4 linked regions of the Caenorhabditis elegans genome follow. The protein of the gene in region 2 purifies or fractionates together with the protein of the main gene of each other region. This does not show direct contact. Each region holds a gene or a part of one and is shown on either strand. Other genes may lie near its edges. The genes, in order: nuo-6, R53.4, nduf-9 and nuo-5.

Region 1 (3,365 bases), on a different chromosome or scaffold from region 2:
ATTCCAAGTCAAACCACATTGGCTTATTCCAATTGGAAAAGAGACATGGCTTGGAATTGAAGTAATATTCGATCAGGTAGTTGAGGAAACCAAGAACTTTCAACCGACTGAACCAACTACAAACGGAACATCAGCAGACAGTAGATCTCCTCGATTCAGACAGCTATAACAAACAAATCAACACGTGTCTTTGGACGACGACGAACTTGTCAAGAAGCGGGTTTCTACCATTTTTGTCTTTGTTAGACTTGAAATCAATAAACTTAATAACAATGTATTAAATACCAGTGAAACGACCGGATGATATGACAGGATATAACAAAAAATTAATAAAAATTTCAATTGGACGATGTAGATGGCTGGTTGTCCTTCGTAAAGTTGATTAATTCGACTTCAGATGCAACTTCAGGGATCGCATGAAAACGGGTACGGAGTGGATCCACGAACAGTTGAACTGCCGCCATAACGTTCGGAGGATAGTCTTGCTCACAGAAGCGGTAATTGCCTTGTTGACATTCACTGAAAATACCGGCAAGAATAGATTTCTCAGTATCTGGAGTTGTCGTAGCTTCGGTTTCGATAGTGTCTAGTACTTTGGAGACAACTGCCGCTTCTGAAAATAAAACTGTAGCGCTGGTTAAGTTCCCTCAGAGTTAGAATTATTCTGGGTTTACTGACCAAGTTCATTGAGCGCTGGCATTTGCTCTTCCAATGTGGCACATGCTTTCATGAATCTGTAAATGACTGGCCATCTTATATTTTGAGAGTCAGTTCTTGTAGCTTTTGCGGTGAGAAGTTTGGTCACCACCGCATTTTCGTGAGTTTTAGATTCTAGAGCGAGATTCTCGAAGAGTGTCTGAAAATTTGAGCATTTTTCAATTGCTGACTAATAAAATATAAAACCTCATAAGTATCTCTAAGAGAAGGTAGGGTCTTGTTGATTGATCCATGATGATGATCGACTATTTTTCCCATGATACTGCTCCAGTCGTCATTTGGATCCACTTGGCAAAATGGTGGAGGAGTGATATTATGATGTCCTGCTTCGATCCATTTATTTTTGTAACACTCAGGGAGAATAATCTCTTTGTGTTCCTTGATAATCTCTCGAATCTCGTCAATTTTCGCCCTGAAAAAGAATAATGATTAAATGTTGAACATATATTTTAAAAACTTACTTTATCTCTTCGATAGATCGTTTTTTTACAATGTTTCGGTGAATATAGTTTATGGCTTCAATTTTGGTACCATACTTCATCACTCCATCCAATAAACTTCTCAAGTCGTCACTGGACCAATTGCCACCATTGAAGCTGCGACCTTCTGCGAGAATCTACAAAATTTTACATTTTTAAATAGTTTATTTTATTAGAAAACTGACTCTGTCCAGTGGTGATGGTTCTTCGGTTACAGTATGGTTTGCGACTTCAAAAGCCATAGAGCTACCGGGAATTTCATTTGTGGGATCGCCGTCGGTTTCCATGGCTAAAATTTGAGTTTTAAGTTAAGTTTAATGTGCGAAAAAAAATAATTATGGCCTCGATTTAGGAAAGAATTGAAGAAAATTGAATTGAGGAAAATTCCTTTCGCTTTGAAATGTGATGTAGATTTACGATAAACAAGGCGCTGTTGCGAAATATCGGAGTGTCGTTTGAACCAGTTGTTCAGAACTTTTTATTTTATTTTTCTTAATTTCCGTCTTGTTTTCCGATTTTGTTTATTAATATTTTAATTCCAGGTTGAACCAAAATGAAGTTGGCATTAAGACTTCTTCGACCAGCTGCCAACCAAAATATTAAATCTCCGAAACTGTGGCAGGATCCAGTGCTTGGATATTTTGAGACTCACGGTAAAACTTTTATTTTATCGATTTATTTTTCATAATTTACTGTTAACTTGTAAAATAATAATTGTTCTGTATAGGAAAGACCGAATTTCTGCCAGGACATGAATACAATCTGAGCGACGAGGAGAAGAAAGCAGTTTTGTGGAGGTAATACGAAAAACGCTTTTTGCTTAAAAGTTTTTAAAAAAATTCTAAAAACAGTGAGAAACATAGTTTTAATTATATTCTCAATTTAAAATTATTTAATTCTATTGAAAAATCAATATATGATAACATTTGCGTTGATGAACACTTATTTCAAGTGATTTATTAGCAATAGAGACAAAAAAAAACAGTTTCTTGATATAATTTACAGAGTATCAAATCAAAAATTGCTTTAAAAAAACTGTTGCGATAAAATTGGATATTAAACACTGAATTAACATAAATTCAGTTTTTAATATCCAACTTTATGATAAAAAAACTACATTTTATTTTTAAAAAATTACTTTCAGATATCGTGTCAAGGAGATTTTGAAGAAGGAATATCTCCGTCGTGAATACGATCCTCATAGCTTCAAGTACAAGGAGGGAGTCACCATGGATCCAGCAATGTTCCGTTGGTATTCTGCTGATATGACTCAAGCCGAGTTCTTCCGTTTCACACCACGCACCGTATTCCTGTACGTCGGAACCGTTTTCGCTCTCTTCTACATTTACACTCGTCTTATGTTTGTCCCAATGGACAAGTCGAATGAAGCATGTTTGGATGGAAAGCTTCTTTGGTGGGATCGTCAACAAGGAAGAACTCTACAAACCGGAGGATCCGGTCTCTTTGCTCCAACCATCGGAATCGACTTCTAATCGTCTCGATCTATCTGTTTTCTTAAATTTACTTTTAGATCCGAATGTAAGCAACTTTTTCTCGATTTTTGTTTTTTTTTAGCTGTGTCGTTATCCTCGTCAAATAAAATTCAGATTTTATTAATGTAAACACTCGTAAATTTATATAAAATAACATTGATGCCTGATGAATTAGATTCCGTAAAAATATGTGTGGAACAGACATCACAGAGAAAAAGAATGAGAAATTTGTGCCTGACTTTCGAGAGAGTTCAAGGGAATTTTTAAGAGAAAAATGGGAGCTGAAACCGTACAATCGGGACGTGTAATTTATAAAATAATATAATAATGTGAAAATCAATAATATCTGCCTGACTGCATTATATCGAGCTCTTTTTTGTGATTTTGTCTTCGAATCACTAGTGCTGTGGAGACAACTGTTAATGATACAATTGTGATAAGAATAAGGGGAAGAACTGGAAGAAGTAGTCGTGGAACACAGAATGGAGAAGGAGCAAGGAGCCCACGATCTGCTGGATCAAGTACAAGAAGTTCTGATGTTGCTACGTCGATCTAAATATTTTATTGTTTTCATGTTAGGAGGATTAAAAAAATATATAATCCGGAAACAATCTATGATTACCTCATAATCAGACCGATCAGCTTCTCTTTTTGTTCGATTTCCATCACCACTTGC
Region 2 (2,844 bases):
GAGATATTGATCAATTAGCTTTCCAATTGAAGAGGAACGATCTGAATTTTTGAAAATAAAAAAATATTTTTTAATTCTCTAGTTAAACCTGGAAAAGCTTGAAGAACGGCTGATGGGGAAGATGAAGCATCTCCGGATTCTGTGGATTTTTTGTTGATGGACTCAACGAGTCGCTTGGCTTGTGTCGACTTGCCGGACCGATCGAGCCCTGTTAAAATATTAAAATATTGATATTTCTTTAAAATTAAGCTAAATCAAATACCTTCGAATACAATCAGGAGCCCTCGTTTCTGATCAGTAGCCATAGGTGAAGAGATGAGGCTCTGGAAATAAGACAGCATGGAGAAATATAAAATAAAATAGAAACATGAAGACGCGCTTCTATAGAATCGGAACTTTAGATCTACAGATTCAAATCTAAAGATAAAGCCGACAGCGAAAAAATCCAGAAAATCGCATCGGCTATCTAACCTTCTTCTTAATATTTCTATTCAACCGATCCATACACTATTTATTCTCTCATAGAAAAAAGACACAAACGGACAAAATCGATAGGGGACTAAATTAACAGAAGACGTCTCGAGAATGAGATGAATTGGGGGAAAAAAGAATACGAAAAAATCGGATGGCTGTTTCGTCCTCCCCCAGCGACAGAGTTTGTATGTGGAGCTTTGAAGAGTAGACGAAATCGGATGGTGTCTACCAATGGTACATCGTCTTCTGGAAATCGACGTAACGGTGAGACTTGACGAGCCAATTGAGGAACGAGTAGGCGAAGATGAAGCGGAAGATTACCTTGACCTAAAAATAAAAAAAATTAGTATTTTTTTTTTAAATTTAAACGAACAGTGTTATTGTAGACTGGTCCTGAGTAATAGAGGTTGTGGACTCTCCAGATATTGCGCATGAACTCGTTGTAGAAGGCAGATGGGGTCTTCTCACGACGAGCCATCCAGGCTGGAAGATCTCCTAGCTTCACATCCATGAACTTGGTATCAAGCTTTCCGTAGTATCTCCAGTGGCAGTATGGTCCGTGAACGTTCTTGTTCCATCTCTTGTCGAACAATCCAACCTCGGTCTTGTTCAACACGCTAAAAATTATATCGGTTATTTTTGGAAAAGAATTTTATTCGTCGTTTTCAGACAATGACAAACCGGTTGTAGAAGAACACTCCGACACGCTCAACGGCGCGAGAGATCGGGATAAAGATCGCGTCCGGAACCCATGGTCTGAGTTGAGTGTGTGGTGGTGGAGGACGGAACCAGGCCATAACTGAAAATTCGAAGAATTAAAAAAATAAAAATAAACCAGATATTTAATTAAATAGTGAGAATCGAGTAACGATTAAGCCAAATAATCAATAAACAAGAAATTAATTAGAAAAACAACCAAAACAGGCATTTTGTTCAATTTAGCAAATATACACATGAATATCAGGAAGAATATACATTTAAAAAAGAACGTTCCAGCTCCAATAATCCTTAACTATGTGCTAAATATTGTTTTAAATATAAACATGTATTTTTGTAAACATTGATCATTATCGACCATGGGATTACGTTTCAGTAACGCCTAAAACGAATTTAACTCAGAATTTAGTGATATATTTGATTTTAGAAGAAATTAATTGAGTAAATAATGAAAAATCGTCAATATTCCACTTTTAAAAAATGCTTAAGAAAAATGTGTGCAGTTTTCAACGGGCGGCGATACATTTCGGCTAATCGCTGCGAGACCCATGGCCGTGGCCGAGTCTACAACTAGTTCACAAGAGCCGAAATGGTGGGAAAGTCGAGGACTTTAAATTTAATGTTTTTTATTTTCGAATTTAATATTTAAAATCAAGTATTTCCCTTTAAAATTTTATTTTTCAAATCAACTTTTAATTTTTGCAGTTCAAAAAATGAGTTCCGGCGATCAGAATCGAGGAGGCGTCGCCGACAAAGCACTACAACTTGTTTTAGAGATGAAAAGAAATCCAGATGTATTACCGCCTTATAACGTAAAATTATATCCTATTTTCTGCTTTAAATTTGAGTTCTTTTCAGACAGAACTTGTACGCCAATGTTATCAGAAAATCGATGAGTTGTTTCAAAAGAATGCTGCCGTCGTGTAAGTGATACATTTCGGAAGCGTACCGATTCGTTCGTGACTTCTTGATTTAAAATCATATTTTTCAGTGAAAAAATCCGTGCAGGACTCCCTCATGATTCTACGCTTCTTCAACCTCGTTTAGCTGCAATGTGCCATATTCGAGTAAGTCGAGAAGGTCGATTTTTGAAATATTGTAGTGGTTCAATTTTCCAGCGTTGCATGATGGCCTATGTGAACGAGAGGAAAAACAGGATTCGATCATTCAGATGGAAGTATGGAGGTGCTCTTCCCGCGTCTGTTAGGGTAATCGGTGCACATGATTAAAATTTGTCAACCATTATTTTTCAGAACGCCCTCTGCGATGCGGAAATTCAGTTTTTCAATGAGTATTCGAGCACATTGGCAAGATTCCAAAGCAATCTTGGAGAAGGTGGTGTTAATCTGCTGCTTCATTCTGCACCACCGAAGTCACTTTTTGTACAAGTTAGAGCTCTCGAGGATTATGGAGAATTTGAAACGTCAGATGGAACTCAAGTTCAGCTGTCCAAGGATAGTTTGGTAAGTCTTCGAATTTTTCTTTATTTGAAAAAAGAGAAATCCCGTTTTTAATTTTTTAAATAATGTATAACATTTTTCAGCACTCCCTTCCACGCCAAGACTGCGAAATGCTGATACGTCAGGGTGTTCTCGAGCTTGTTCATTGACTTGTTGTCGGTATTTTGTTTTCAACCTGTGATCTGTATAAATA
Region 3 (7,692 bases), on a different chromosome or scaffold from region 2:
ATTTGAAAAATTTCGTTGCTTTTCAATAAAAAACTAATTTTCAGACGTGGCCTAGAAAAATAACCGGAAAAGTTAGGCCACGCAGCATTTTTCTAGAAAATTGCAAATTTTTCGAGAAACGCGTTATGTCTTCACTTTTAATTTTGAAAAACGTGCTTAATTTGCTTTTTAATCAAATTTTTTCAAATTTTAAGACGTGGCCAAGAAAAACCAGCTGAAAAAATAGGCCACGAAATTTTTCTTCGAAAAGCTCCATTTTTCCGCGATTTCGCCGCTGGAAATTAACTTTCGGCCAACGTTTCTGTGAAAATTATTTTTTAAAACTCTAAATATCTGCCAAAAAACCACTGTGGCCTAAACAATTCCATTGATTTTTCCAGTATTCTTCTTACTTATCGTCACGTTTGCCGGATTTTCATTTTCCCGCCCCGACCACCATTCGAGGAACTGCAAAGTAAGTGCGCTCTAGCGAACAACGAAGCTGCAAACGCGCTCCATTGAGAATTTTGCTTAAATGGTGGAAATCTCGGGGGTTTCTGGAGATATATCGATTTTTATTCGATATTTCGCTGAAAAAAATTGAAAAATTTGAGAAAAATCATTCAAAACCCTAGTTTTTCGCCGATTTTTTCCGCATTTTTTCAAGAATTCGGAATATTTTTTGATTTCCAGGCTTACCGACGACCGGCTCTAAACGAAGTGCTCACGAGAATATGCCTACTTTGCCATGAAATGTTTTCAGTCGACCAGCCGAATCTAGCCGCCGAGTGCAGCTCGAATTGCTTCAGGAATCCGGCGTTTAACAAGTGTCTCAACTTTTTTAGGCCGAAATTTTCTCCTTTTCTGGGTTCCACGTGATAAATAAATTGGTTTTAATCGTTAAATTTGAATTTTAATTGACTAAAATTGGTTAAATCGAGAAAAAAAAAGAAAAGAACCACAGTGCGGAGTCGAACCCCGGTGTGTTGCGTGAAAGGCAAAAGAGTTACCAGCAAAGCCACAAAGCAATGTGAACGTAATTTTGAGAGGCGTATACATTGTAGCCATAAATGCTTATTATCTCGATAGCGTATAATATTAATAATTGAGAATTTTGATGTCATTTTCAGTTTAATCTACCAGTATTCTTCTGTAATTTCGCACATTTTGAAGAAATCCCTTGAAAACTTCGCATTTCTATTTAATTCAAAGATTTTAATAATTTTTCTTGAATGTAAAACAAGAAAAGTAATATTTCATTAATTTTTCAACAATTTAGATTGAAAACTCTCTTTAAAACCGCCTTTCTCACCAATTTTTGCTAATTTCAAAGCTTCTCATTCCTCCTTGGAGTACGGTCATCAATCCCCGCCCTTCCAAGTGCGCATTCGAGTCCGCAAACGTCAAACCCGACGCCATATTGCGTACAGGCCAAATTATTTATTTCGGCACCGCGTACTTCATTTTCAGCCATTTTTAGCGGTTTTTCCAGATTTTTTCGCTATTTTCGGTGCTTTTTTGATAAAAAATCGATTTTTTCGACCGGAAAAGCTATTTTTAGCTGGAAAAAATCCCGAAAAAACGCAGAAAACCCATTTAATTCTTAAAAAGTCTTTAAAAATCTTTAAAAATCTTTAAACAATTGCAAATCTCGATTTTCCTAATTTCAGCCATGCTATCAGTGTTGGGTAGATCCGGCTTGGGCGCCCGGCAGGCGGTTTCGGTCGTTGGAAGTCAGAATTTCAGCAGCGCGGTCACCTCCGCCGAAAATGCTCATCCGGAGCCACGTGTCAGCTCTCAGAGTGCTCAATTCAGAAAGGGAGCCGGTGGAAGGTACAGGAAAAGCCTAAGAATGATTTGAAACTGGAAAATGTGGAAAAAATCTAGGAAAAATTGAAAAAACATTGAAAAAAAATCAATTTTTTCCCAAAAAAAATCGTTAAAAATTCCAAATTTTTGCAGAGCCTCCTTCTCCGGCAATGTGGTGACCGTATTCGGTGCGTCAGGCTTCTTGGGACTTCCAGTTGTCAATAAATTCGCGAAAAATGGCTCACAAATCATTATTCCGTATCGCCAGGATCCGTATTACATGAGAGAGCACAAAGTGCTCGGCGAGCTCGGACAAGTCCTCTATTTTCCATTTGAGCTGATGGATGAGGAGAGCATTCGAAAGGTATTAAAATTCGTGGAAATTGAGAGAAAAATCGAGTTTTCTAGGTGAAAATCGAGAAAAATTGGATTTTTCTCTAGAAAATCCAGAAAAAATAGAGTTTTCTCAGTGAAAATCGAGAAAAAATGGGTTTTTCTTTAGAAAATTCAGAAAAAATAGAGTTTTCTCAGTGAAAATCGAGAAAAATTAGGTTTTTTCTCTAGAAAATTCCGAAAAAAAAAGAGTTTTCTAGGTGAAAATCGAGAAAAATTGGATTTTTCTCTAGAAAATCCAGAAAAAATCAATTTTTCAGGCTGTAAAGTACTCGAACGTCGTCATCAACTTGATCGGAACTCGTGTGCCGACTGGGTGAGGAAATTGCAGATTTTTGAGCGGAAAAATTCACAAAATATGCCGGAAATTCAAAAAATTCAAATTTCGCGCCGTTTTTGACCAAATAAATCACTCTTTTTCGCTGAAAATTCGAAAAAATGCCTGAAAAACCTTCAAAATGTGGAATTTAACCCTTTTTTCCTACTGAAAATTCAAAAAATAAATTTTTTTACACCAAATTATCATTCAAAATTCAAAAAAAAAGCTCTTTTTTTCCAGTTTTTTCATTGAAAAACTCAAAATTCCTCACTTTTTCCAACTGAAAATCAATTAAAAATTGAAAAATCCCCTTAAATTTTGAATTTGGCTCCACTTTTTGGCTAAAAATTTGAAAAATGTCCGAAAAATCTTCAAAATTTTGAGTTTCGCGCCGTTTTTTTCACTGAAAATTCAAAAAATATTTTTAAAAAATTCAAAAAAAACTAAATTGCTCAATTTTTCTCCAAAATTTTCGAGAAAACTGCCATTTTCTATTGAAAAATTCAAATTTCCCCACTTTTTCCTTCTAAAAATCCCAATTTTAAGCCATTTTTCCTTGCAGAAAGTACAATTACTATGACGTCAACGACACGGGAGCCCGCCGTTTGGCTCGAATTTGCAAAGAAATGGGTGTGGAGAAATTTGTGCATTTGTCGGCTCTCGGAGCAACTACACAACCACAAAAGGGACATTTTGTCGCAAAATCGCAATTTCTTCATTCAAAAGGACTCGGAGAAGTTGCTGTACGTGAAGAATTCCCAGAAGCAACAATTATTCGCCCATCTGTGATCTACGGTGAATTGGATGGATTTATTCAATATTATGTGTCAAGATGGCGAAAAACTCCATTGGATTATGTGTATTTGTACAAGAAGGGAGAAGAAACGTATAAAATGCCGATTTGGGTACGGAATTGGCCGATAATTCATGAAAAATGACCTAAAATACGTGAAAATTGGCCGAAAATGACTGAAAATGGCTGAAATTTGGCACAAAATTAAATATTTTAACGAAAAACTCACAAAAACCGAGATTTTTTGAAAATTTACGATTTTCACATTAAAAATTGTCAAAAAAATTTTATTTTCCGTTAATATTGATTAAAATTATAGAAAAATCCATTTTCAACCGAATTTTGAACGAAATTAATCAAAATTTCATAAAATACATTTTAAAAAAAGCTCAAAATACGTGAAATTCGCCAAAAATGCTGAACAATTACTTAAAATTCAAAAAAATTGAAGTAATTTGACCAAAAAACTGAATTTTAGTCAATAAAAATTCAAAAATGGCTGAAAATTGTTTGAATATTGAAAATTGGGCGAAAATTCATGAAAAATGACCTAAAATACGTGAAAATCGGCCAAAAATGACGAAAAAAAATTTTTTTTTAAAGTAGAAAATTTCATGAAAATCGAGAAAAATGGTGTAATTTGACCTAATAACTGAATTTTAAAAATAAAAAGTCGAAAATCCGTGAAAATCGGTCTAAATCTACGAAATTTCATGAAAATTCGCTTGAAATTGAGAAAAATGACTCAAAATTCATTACAATAAATCCAAATGAACTGAAAAATGTCAAAATTCATAAAAATTGGCCTAATACAAATAAAATGAGTCCAAATATTTATGAAAAGTCTCGAAATTTCATATAAAGTTGCTCAAAATACGTGAAATTCGCTAAAAATTGCTGGAATTTATTTAATTTGCTTAAAAATTAGAAAAAAATTTCAAAATTCAAGGAAATTGGCATAAGTCCGTCTAAAAATTGAATTTTAAATTTAAAAAGTCAAAAATTCCAACAAATCGGCCAAAAATTACTGAAAATTGTTCAAAATATGACCAATTTTTGTTTGAAAATCGGAAAAATTACTCAAAATTCGAGAAACGCTGTAATTTGCGAAATTTTATGAAAAAAAAGCCTTAAAACCATTTAAATTGGCCAAAAATGACTGAAAATGGCTGAAATTTGGCACAAAATTGAAAATTTTCGGAATTTCACCCAAAATTTCATAAAATTTGATAAAACTAGTCGAAAATTGGTAGAATTTCGGCAAAAATCGTATTTTCACACAGAAAATTGTCAAAAAATTGCTAAAAATGACAAATTTTGACTGAAAAACTTGAATTTTTGCTTAAATTTCATCAAAATGTAAAAATCGGTAAAATTCCAGAAAAATTCACCGAAATTTGCAAATTTTGGCTTAAAATTGTCCATTTTTGCCGAAAAAAAATTGATGGTAGGCGGCGGTAGGCATAAAGTAGGCACAATTTTTTTTTTGCGAAAAAATGCAAAAAATGTCCAAATTTCGCATATTTTGACTCAAAACCTCGGCCAAAAATGGTGTAATTTGACCTAATAACTGAATTTTAAAAATAAAAAGTCGAAAATCCGTGAAAATCGGTCTAAATCTACGAAATTTCATGAAAATTCGCTTGAAATTGAAAAAAATGACTCAAAATTCATTACAATAAATCCAAATGAACTGAAAAATGTCAAAATTCATAAAAATTGGCTTTTAATACAATTAAAATGAGTCCAAATATTTATGAAAAGTCTCGAAATTTCATATAAAGTTGCTCAAAATATGTGAAATTCGCTAAAAATTGATGGAATTTATTTAATTTGCTTAAAAATTAGAGAAAAAAAATTTCAAAATTCAAGGAAATGAGGCTTAAAGTTACCTATAAACGCTGGAATTTGCGAAATTTTATGAAAAAAAGCTTTAAAACCATTTAAATTGTCCAAAAATGACTGAAAATGGCTGAAATTTGGCACAAAACTGAAAATTTTCGGAATTTCACCCAAAATTTGATAAAACTAGTCGAAAATTGGTAGAATTTTGGCAAAAATCGTTTTCTCCTCAAAAATGTAACAAAATTTTCGATTTTCACACAGAAAATTGTCAAAAAATTGCTAAAAATGACAAATTTTGACTGAAAATCTCGAATTTTTGCTTAAATTCCATCAAAAATGATGATTTTTTCAGAAAAATTCACCGAAATTTGCAAATTTTGGCTTAAAATTGTCCATTTCTGCCGAAAAAAAATTGATGGTAGGCATAAGTAGGCACCATTTTATTGCGAAAAATGACCAAATTTTGGATATTTTGACTCAAAACCTTGAATTTTTGCCAAAATTCAATTCATTTTTCGCACAATTTCAGTAAAAATAACTCAAAATTTACCATTTTTTGCCGAATTTTCAACGAAATTGATCAAAATTTCGAGAAAATCGGCGAAAAATCACTAAAAAAATCTCGATTTTCTTGCAGGTTGCTTTTTTAGTTTTTAGTTTTAGTTTAAAAAAGAAAAATCGGCCAAAAATGAGTGAAAATTGTTCAAAATAGGCCCAATTTGTTTGAAAATTCAAAAAATTACTCGAAATACATACAATTCGGCCTAAAACTGCCTATAAACGGTGGAATTTGCGAAAATAAGCGAAATAAAAAAAAAAGCTTTAAAAACGTTTAAATTGGCCAAAAATGACAAAAAATGGCTGAAATTTGGTCCAAAATTGAAAATTTTGAAGAAAATTGACGATTTTTGACGAAAAACATACAAAAAATCGTTTAAAAATGTTATCAATTCCAATTTTCGGTAATTTCCCATATTCACTTGAAAAAAATTGTTGAAACATTGCTAAAAATGGCAAGTATATATATTGAATTTTTTGGTTAAATTCCATTAAAAAACGGTATTTTCGCGCGAAATTTCATTAAAAGGAGTGAAAATCCGTAAAATTTCAAAAAAAATTCACAGAAATTTGCAAATTTTGGCTCAAAATTTACCATTTTTTGCCGAGTTTTCAACGAAATTGATCAAAATTTCGAGAAAATTGGCGAAAAATTCCGATTTTCTTGCAGGTTGGAGACGTTGCCGCCGGAATTCAAAGTGCTGTAAATGATCCAACAGCAAAAGGACATACTTATGAATTTGTTGGACCACACTGCTATCAATTGTCTGAATTGATTGATTTCATGTACAAAAAAGCGCATTGTTTGTCTGATTTTGGATTCAGGTACCCGGTTTTTCGATTTTCCCGCCGAAAATTGGCCTAAAATGAAGGAAAATTGCTAATTTTTGGGCAAAAAAATCATGAAAATTGATAATTTTTAACGAGAAATTCATGAAAATTGGACTTAAAAATCGTGAAAACTGGGTCTCGCCACGAAAACTTTATTTTTTTCAAATTTAAAGGCACATGGGTTGTGCATCAATCAGGAAATTTTGAAAATTCGAATTCTCCTCAAAATTCTAGGCTTGTAGCTTTAATCGGGTCTCGCAACGAAAATTTCACGAGTACAGTAACCCGCGAGATATTATTCCGTGGCGAGACCTTAAAAAATCAAAAAAATCAATATTTTCACTGAAAATTGATGATTTTTAACGTGAACTTTATGAAAATTGGCTAAAAAATATAAATTTAGACGTAAAAATCGTGAAAACTACATTTTTTTTTGGGTCTCGCCACGAAAAAGTTGAAAAAAAAAAATTTCTTGAGTACAGTAACCCGCGAGGTATTGTTTCGTGGCGGCGGGACCCAGGCGTGAAATTTCGAGAAAAATCGCGAATTTTTCAATTATTTTCGTGGCGGGACCCGAGAAAAAGCTCAAATTTTTGCAGATACAAGCGTCACGGAATGCCGGATCCATATTTCATGGCTCTCACAATGGCCACCGAACTCTATGGTAAAGTGTTCAAGTGTAAAGTTCCACTCAACAGAGAATGGATGGAGTTTGTGGTAGGTTTTAGGGCTTAAAATGAGCAAAAACGCCTCAAATTTTAGATTTTTTTAATTAAAAATCGGTTTTCCGCCAAAAATCGGGCAATTTTTACGGAAAAATCCATTTTTTAAGTGAAAAACACTTAAAAAAAACTGATTTTTGAGTCAAAAAATTGGAAATTTCGGAAAGCCTACCTACGCCTGCCTTGTGCCTACCGTTGAATTGTTAAATCAGGTAGGCGTAGGCACAATTTTGAGGAATTTTTTTTGTAGAAGTGGCGGAAACAACCCGATTTTCATCAAAAAAATTCGAAAAAAATCGAAAATTTTTTCAAAATTATCGATTTTTAGTCGAAAAATGGATTTTATTGATTTTTTTTTTTGAAAAAAAAATTTAGCGAATAAAATCGATAATTTACGGAAATTATCGATTTTTTGTTGATTTTCAAAAAATCGATAAATTCCG
Region 4 (4,725 bases), on a different chromosome or scaffold from region 2:
GTATAATAGTTCGGAAAAAAATTTTCCGGCAAATATCTACTTTAAATGAATTTATTTATCGAAAATAAGCTTTTTAAGTTATTTTCAGAAAATTAGATTTTTTTTTTGATTTTCTCTGAAAAAAAAATCGATTTTTACCGATAACAGCTCAAAAAGCATTAAAAATTCATAAAAAGTAAAATGTTGCCGAACAATTTTTTATTCCAAACCAGGGGTGTGCGGCAAATTTGCCGATTTGCCGAAAATTGCCGACTTGCCGAATTCGGCAAATTTAAAAAAACCAGCAATTGCCGATTTGCCGAGCTCGGCAATTTTCAAAAAAGTAGATTTTCCGAATTTGCCGAGCTCGGCAAATTTCGAAATTTGCCGCACACGTGAAAAATTTGACAGTACAATTTTGAATAAAACTATTGATTTTTTAGCCAAAAATTTAGTAAAATGACACAAAATTGAGCTATTTTGATGCTTAAACAGACATACTACGCGGAACTTATTCAGAAACCAGATGTGTGTTAAGAATTCAGTAGTTTTGGTGCTCCACAAAACATAAAAAATATCAAATTTTTCCGAGTTTGTTAAGCACGGCAAATTTGCCGAATTTGCCGAATTTGCCGAGCTCTGCAAATTTGCCGAATTTGCCGTGCTCGGCAAATATTGAAAAAAGAGATTTGCCGAATTTGCCGAGCTCGGCAAATTTTGAAAAACCAGCAATTGCCGATTTGCCGAGCTCGGCAATTTTTTCCATTTGCCGCACACCCCTGTTCCAAACTAGACTACACAATTTTCAACTTTTTAATTATCAAAATTCAAAAAATCTGTAAATTTTCGATTTTTTTCAGAGAAAATTGAAAAATATCGATTTTTTCTCCAAAAAAAGTGAAAAATGGCCAAAAATACAATTTTTTTTTCGACATTCGAAAAATATCGATTCTTCTTCAAAATTTTCAAAGCTATGTCTTCCAAAAAATTCGTTTCAAAACTCCGTACATCGTTGATTTTCGGAATAACCCGCAGAAGCTCGCCAGTCCGATGCGAAAGCACAATATTCGATCCGGTCGCATCCATCACATCAACACTTTCAGTCTTTCTAGTCTCCCAGGGCCGGGCCGTAAACGCGTACTGCTTGCTGGTAAGAGCTCCGACCGGACAAATATCGATAATATTCCCAGAGAGCTCTGAAGCAAAAAATTTCTCGACGTAGGTGCCAATTTGAAGATCTTGTCCTCGTCCGGTGGTGCCGAAATCCGGAAAAGCGGCCACTTCATTAGCGAATCGGACACATCGAGTACACTGAATACATCGAGTCATCACAGTTTTCACCAACGGCCCGATATTCTTATCCTCGAGAGCCCGTTTTCCATCGAATCTCGACTGAAGCCGCCCACGATCGGATCCGAAATTCATCGCCTGATCCTGTAGATCACATTCGCCACCTTGATCACAAATCGGGCAGTCGAGTGGATGGTTGTTGAGCATGAACTCCATCACCCCTTCGCGAGCTTTTTTCACGAAATCCGAGTTGGTTTTGACTTTCATTCCGTTCATGACAGGCATCGCACATGATGCGACAGGCTTCACCGACTTCTCCACCTCTACCAGACACATTCGGCAGTTTCCGGCAATTGAGAGACGGTCGTGATAGCAGAAGCGTGGGATGTCGACGCCGACGAGCGCGCACGCTTGGAGAATCGTCATTCCCGGGTCGACGAGCACTTTTTTGTCGTCGATGAAGACTTCGACCTGGAAGAAAATGAGGTGATTTTTAGTGGTTTTTTTGTTGATTTTTACAGGGAAAATCGAAAAATTTCGATTTTTTTTATTTGAAAATCGAAAAAAAATTTTTTTTTTAAGTTTTTTGTTTTCGGAAAATGGAAGAAATTTGTTTCGTTTTTTTTTTTTTTTAATTGAAAAAAATGTTGGGTTTTTAGGTTCCGGAAAATCGAAAAATATATATTTACGATATATTTTTAAAAATTGAAAAAAAAACGAATTTTCGATTTTTTACAGGAAAAATCATCGAAAAAATTCTGATTTTTTGAACTGAAAGCTAAATTTTTAGATTTTTTACAGGAAAATTAGATTTTTTAAAATTGAAAAACGTAATTTTTCGATTTTTTTTTAATTGAAAAACGTGCTTTTTTCATTTTATGTTTTTTTTGTTGATAAATTTAAAAACGAAATGTTTCGATCATTTTAATTGAAAAAAAAAATTAGATTTTTTACAGGAAAAATCGAATAATTTTTATTTTTTTGTAAAAAAAATTGTCAGAGAAAATCGAGCATTTAAAAAAAAATTCGATGTTTACAGGAAAAATCGAAAAAATTCCGATTTTTGAACCGAAAAACTAAATTTTTGATTTTTTTACAGGAAATAACGATTTTTTTTTCAATTGAAAAACGAAGAAATTTAGATTTTTGTTTAAATTAAATAACGTACTTTTTCGATTTGTTCTTTTTTCGGAAATTAAAAAAACTAAATTTTCCGTTTTTTAAAGGAAAAATCTAAAAATTTTTGATTTTTCGAACCGAAAAACGGAATTTTTCGATTTTTTTAATTGAAAAACGAAAACATTTTTGATTTTAGTAAAACATCATTGCACCATGTATTTTGTAAAATTTTCAATTAATAATTAGTGCCAAAATATAGAAAATCACTCGATTCATCGAGAAAATCACATTAATTTCGGATGAAACAGTTGAGAAAAAGCTCAAAACTGTCTTTTTGAGCGCTTTCTCCAACATTTCAGCTAAAATCAAAGTGATTTTCCGATAAATCGAGCGATTTTCTATATTCTGGCACTAATTTTAAATGGAAAATGATGGAAAATTGGAGATTGTAGATGAAATTAAGCTTTTTTTTTGAATTTCTCGCTAGTTAATTCGTTATTTTTTTGCCAAATCCATTTTTCTTCAATTTTTCCGCCGAAAATTCCAGTTTTTTCACCTTTTTCGGTGGAGCCGGAGCCGCCACCGAAAGCGATCTCTTCTGTTGAGCCTTCGACACTCCGCGGACAATTTGTCCACCGACGCGATGCATGGTGCTCTGAAATTGCAATTACTTCCTGAAATTTTTTCCGAAAAATTGAGAGAAAATAAATATAAATCTCGGTAGAAAATTAACCGAATTTCAATTTTTAGAGGAAAAAAAATCAATAAATACCATTTAAACCACCGAATATACAAGAAATAGGGCAAAAAAAAAGAATAAATAATTAATAATTAATTACAACCAAGTTTTAGCTAGTTTTAGCTAGTTTTTAGCGAAAAAAATCGAAAAAAATCAGAAAAAATCCCGTTTGTTAGCATCATTAGCAGGCGAAAGTAAAAATAAAAAATTTTTCGAAAAACTTTTTTTTTCGTTGGGGAATGAGTAGACATTGAATATTACACAGAAAGGGAAGGATATGCACATTTTTTTCAAAAAAAAAAATTTTTTAGACGTGTGGAAGACGAGAATCTTCGACGGCGACGCGAATATTCGGATTGGCCATTGGATCGAAAAGGGGGTCCGATGAGTGCTCGCCGCTGTATCCGGCACGCTTCATCACCATTATAATCTGGAAAAATACAATTTATTTGGAATTAAATGAAGTTAGAATCTAAATTTGCTTGATAAGACTCATAAACACTCAAAATTTGCTTAAAAAGCCATAAAATTCGCTCAAAAATACTCAAAATTCACTCAAAAAAAGTCAAACTTTGATCAAAAAGCCTTAACATTTCCTTCAAAAATACTCAAAAATTGCTCTAAAATACTCAAAAAATTGCTCAAAAAGACAATAAATTTGCTCAAAAAGCCTTAAAATTTGATCAAAATGACTCAAAATTTGCGAAATTTGATTAAAAACACTCAAAATTTGCTCAAAAAGCTCAAAATTCGCTTAAAAATACTCAAAATCGCTCAATTTTAGCTAAAATACACCAATTTCGCCGACTTTTCCGTGTCGCAGCGGTCGGAAATTGACTTATATTTTATTTTCATGAAATTTCATCGTTTATTTTATATTTTTATTGTTTATTACACATTTTTTCGCTATTTAATGTACATTTTAAGCCACACGGCAGACGTTGAGCGCAAAAAATTGTGGGCGGGGTCTGGACCGCAATTCTGCGGCGCGCGATTTCGCAACTCCGCCGCGCTGTTTTTTTGTCAGTCGAAATTTTTTTTTCATGAGATTTTATCGAAATATCTCGAAAAAATCACGATATACTGGAAATTTTATTCGAAAAATGCGAAAAAAAACTTAAAAACTTGTAAAAAATAGTCGCGCGGTGGAGTTGCGAAACATCGCGCCGCAGGATTGCGGTTTAGGCTCCGCCCTCACGTCGTTTTCGGTTTATATGCTTCAAATGTACACTAAATAACGAAAAAAACGTGAGAAAAACGATAAAAATTGAAAATAAACTGTGATAAAATCAAATAAAAGCGAATTTCCGACAGATGCAACACGGAAAAGTCGGCGAAATTGATGTATTTTAGCTAAAATTAGGCCATTTTTTCAGGGAAAAAATATTTTTTTGGCGTTTTTGAGTCTATAAAAGTCGCTTTTTAAAATCCAACCGTAATCAAAGCCAAAACGGCCAGGAAAATCACGAAAAGCGCGATTTTTTTCGCGGAAGCCCGTTCCTGTGGGACCCCGGAGCCGCCATGTTTTGCTCTCCAGAGCCCGCGCATCCAATCCATCGTCGGGCGCCGTTTATATTTATTCTCCTCGTTATCGGCGT

What was found.
Region 1: the proteins of R53.4 (region 2) and nuo-6 fractionate together in Caenorhabditis elegans (co-fractionation; one large-scale study listed by BioGRID). This does not show direct contact.
Region 3: the proteins of R53.4 (region 2) and nduf-9 fractionate together in Caenorhabditis elegans (co-fractionation; one large-scale study listed by BioGRID). This does not show direct contact.
Region 4: the proteins of R53.4 (region 2) and nuo-5 fractionate together in Caenorhabditis elegans (co-fractionation; one large-scale study listed by BioGRID). This does not show direct contact.

What each region holds. Positions count from the first base shown.
Region 1 is NC_003279.8:7,067,560-7,070,924, reverse strand, and holds nuo-6 (NADH dehydrogenase [ubiquinone] 1 beta subcomplex subunit 4), read left to right. Parts: upstream 1-1,738; 5' UTR 1,739-1,749; coding exon 1,750-1,849; intron 1,850-1,923; coding exon 1,924-1,993; intron 1,994-2,340; coding exon 2,341-2,689; 3' UTR 2,690-2,809; downstream 2,810-3,365. Other genes in the region: W01A8.6 (Peptidase M14 domain-containing protein), read left to right, coding at 1-169; tofu-5 (Twenty One u-rna (21U-RNA) biogenesis Fouled Up), read right to left, coding at 339-613, 679-856, 904-1,129, 1,179-1,333, 1,382-1,483; cutl-6 (ZP domain-containing protein), read right to left, coding at 3,026-3,241, 3,312-3,365.
Region 2 is NC_003280.10:9,966,777-9,969,620, forward strand, and holds R53.4 (Putative ATP synthase subunit f, mitochondrial), read right to left. Parts: upstream 1,274-2,844; 5' UTR 1,272-1,273; coding exon 1,156-1,271; intron 1,092-1,155; coding exon 848-1,091; intron 802-847; coding exon 700-801; 3' UTR 501-699; downstream 1-500. Other genes in the region: dtmk-1 (Thymidylate kinase), read right to left, coding at 1-41, 89-208, 263-305; psf-1 (putative DNA replication complex GINS protein PSF1), read left to right, coding at 1,905-2,003, 2,050-2,114, 2,183-2,258, 2,310-2,399, 2,445-2,654, 2,735-2,800. UniProt on the Caenorhabditis elegans protein: Mitochondrial membrane ATP synthase (F(1)F(0) ATP synthase or Complex V) produces ATP from ADP in the presence of a proton gradient across the membrane which is generated by electron transport complexes of the respiratory chain.
Region 3 is NC_003281.10:3,242,533-3,250,224, reverse strand, and holds the start of nduf-9 (NADH dehydrogenase [ubiquinone] 1 alpha subcomplex subunit 9, mitochondrial), read left to right. Parts: upstream 1-1,649; 5' UTR 1,650-1,651; coding exon 1,652-1,812; intron 1,813-1,941; coding exon 1,942-2,152; intron 2,153-2,441; coding exon 2,442-2,497; intron 2,498-3,062; coding exon 3,063-3,405; intron 3,406-6,366; coding exon 6,367-6,521; intron 6,522-7,126; coding exon 7,127-7,244; intron 7,245-7,692. Other genes in the region: Y53G8AL.4 (Apple domain-containing protein), read left to right, coding at 381-454, 673-858.
Region 4 is NC_003283.11:2,697,290-2,702,014, reverse strand, and holds the start of nuo-5 (NADH-ubiquinone oxidoreductase 75 kDa subunit, mitochondrial), read right to left. Parts: upstream 3,044-4,725; 5' UTR 3,038-3,043; coding exon 2,945-3,037; intron 1,741-2,944; coding exon 988-1,740; intron 1-987. Other genes in the region: Y45G12B.2 (Zinc finger protein-like 1 homolog), read right to left, coding at 3,435-3,557, 4,562-4,725.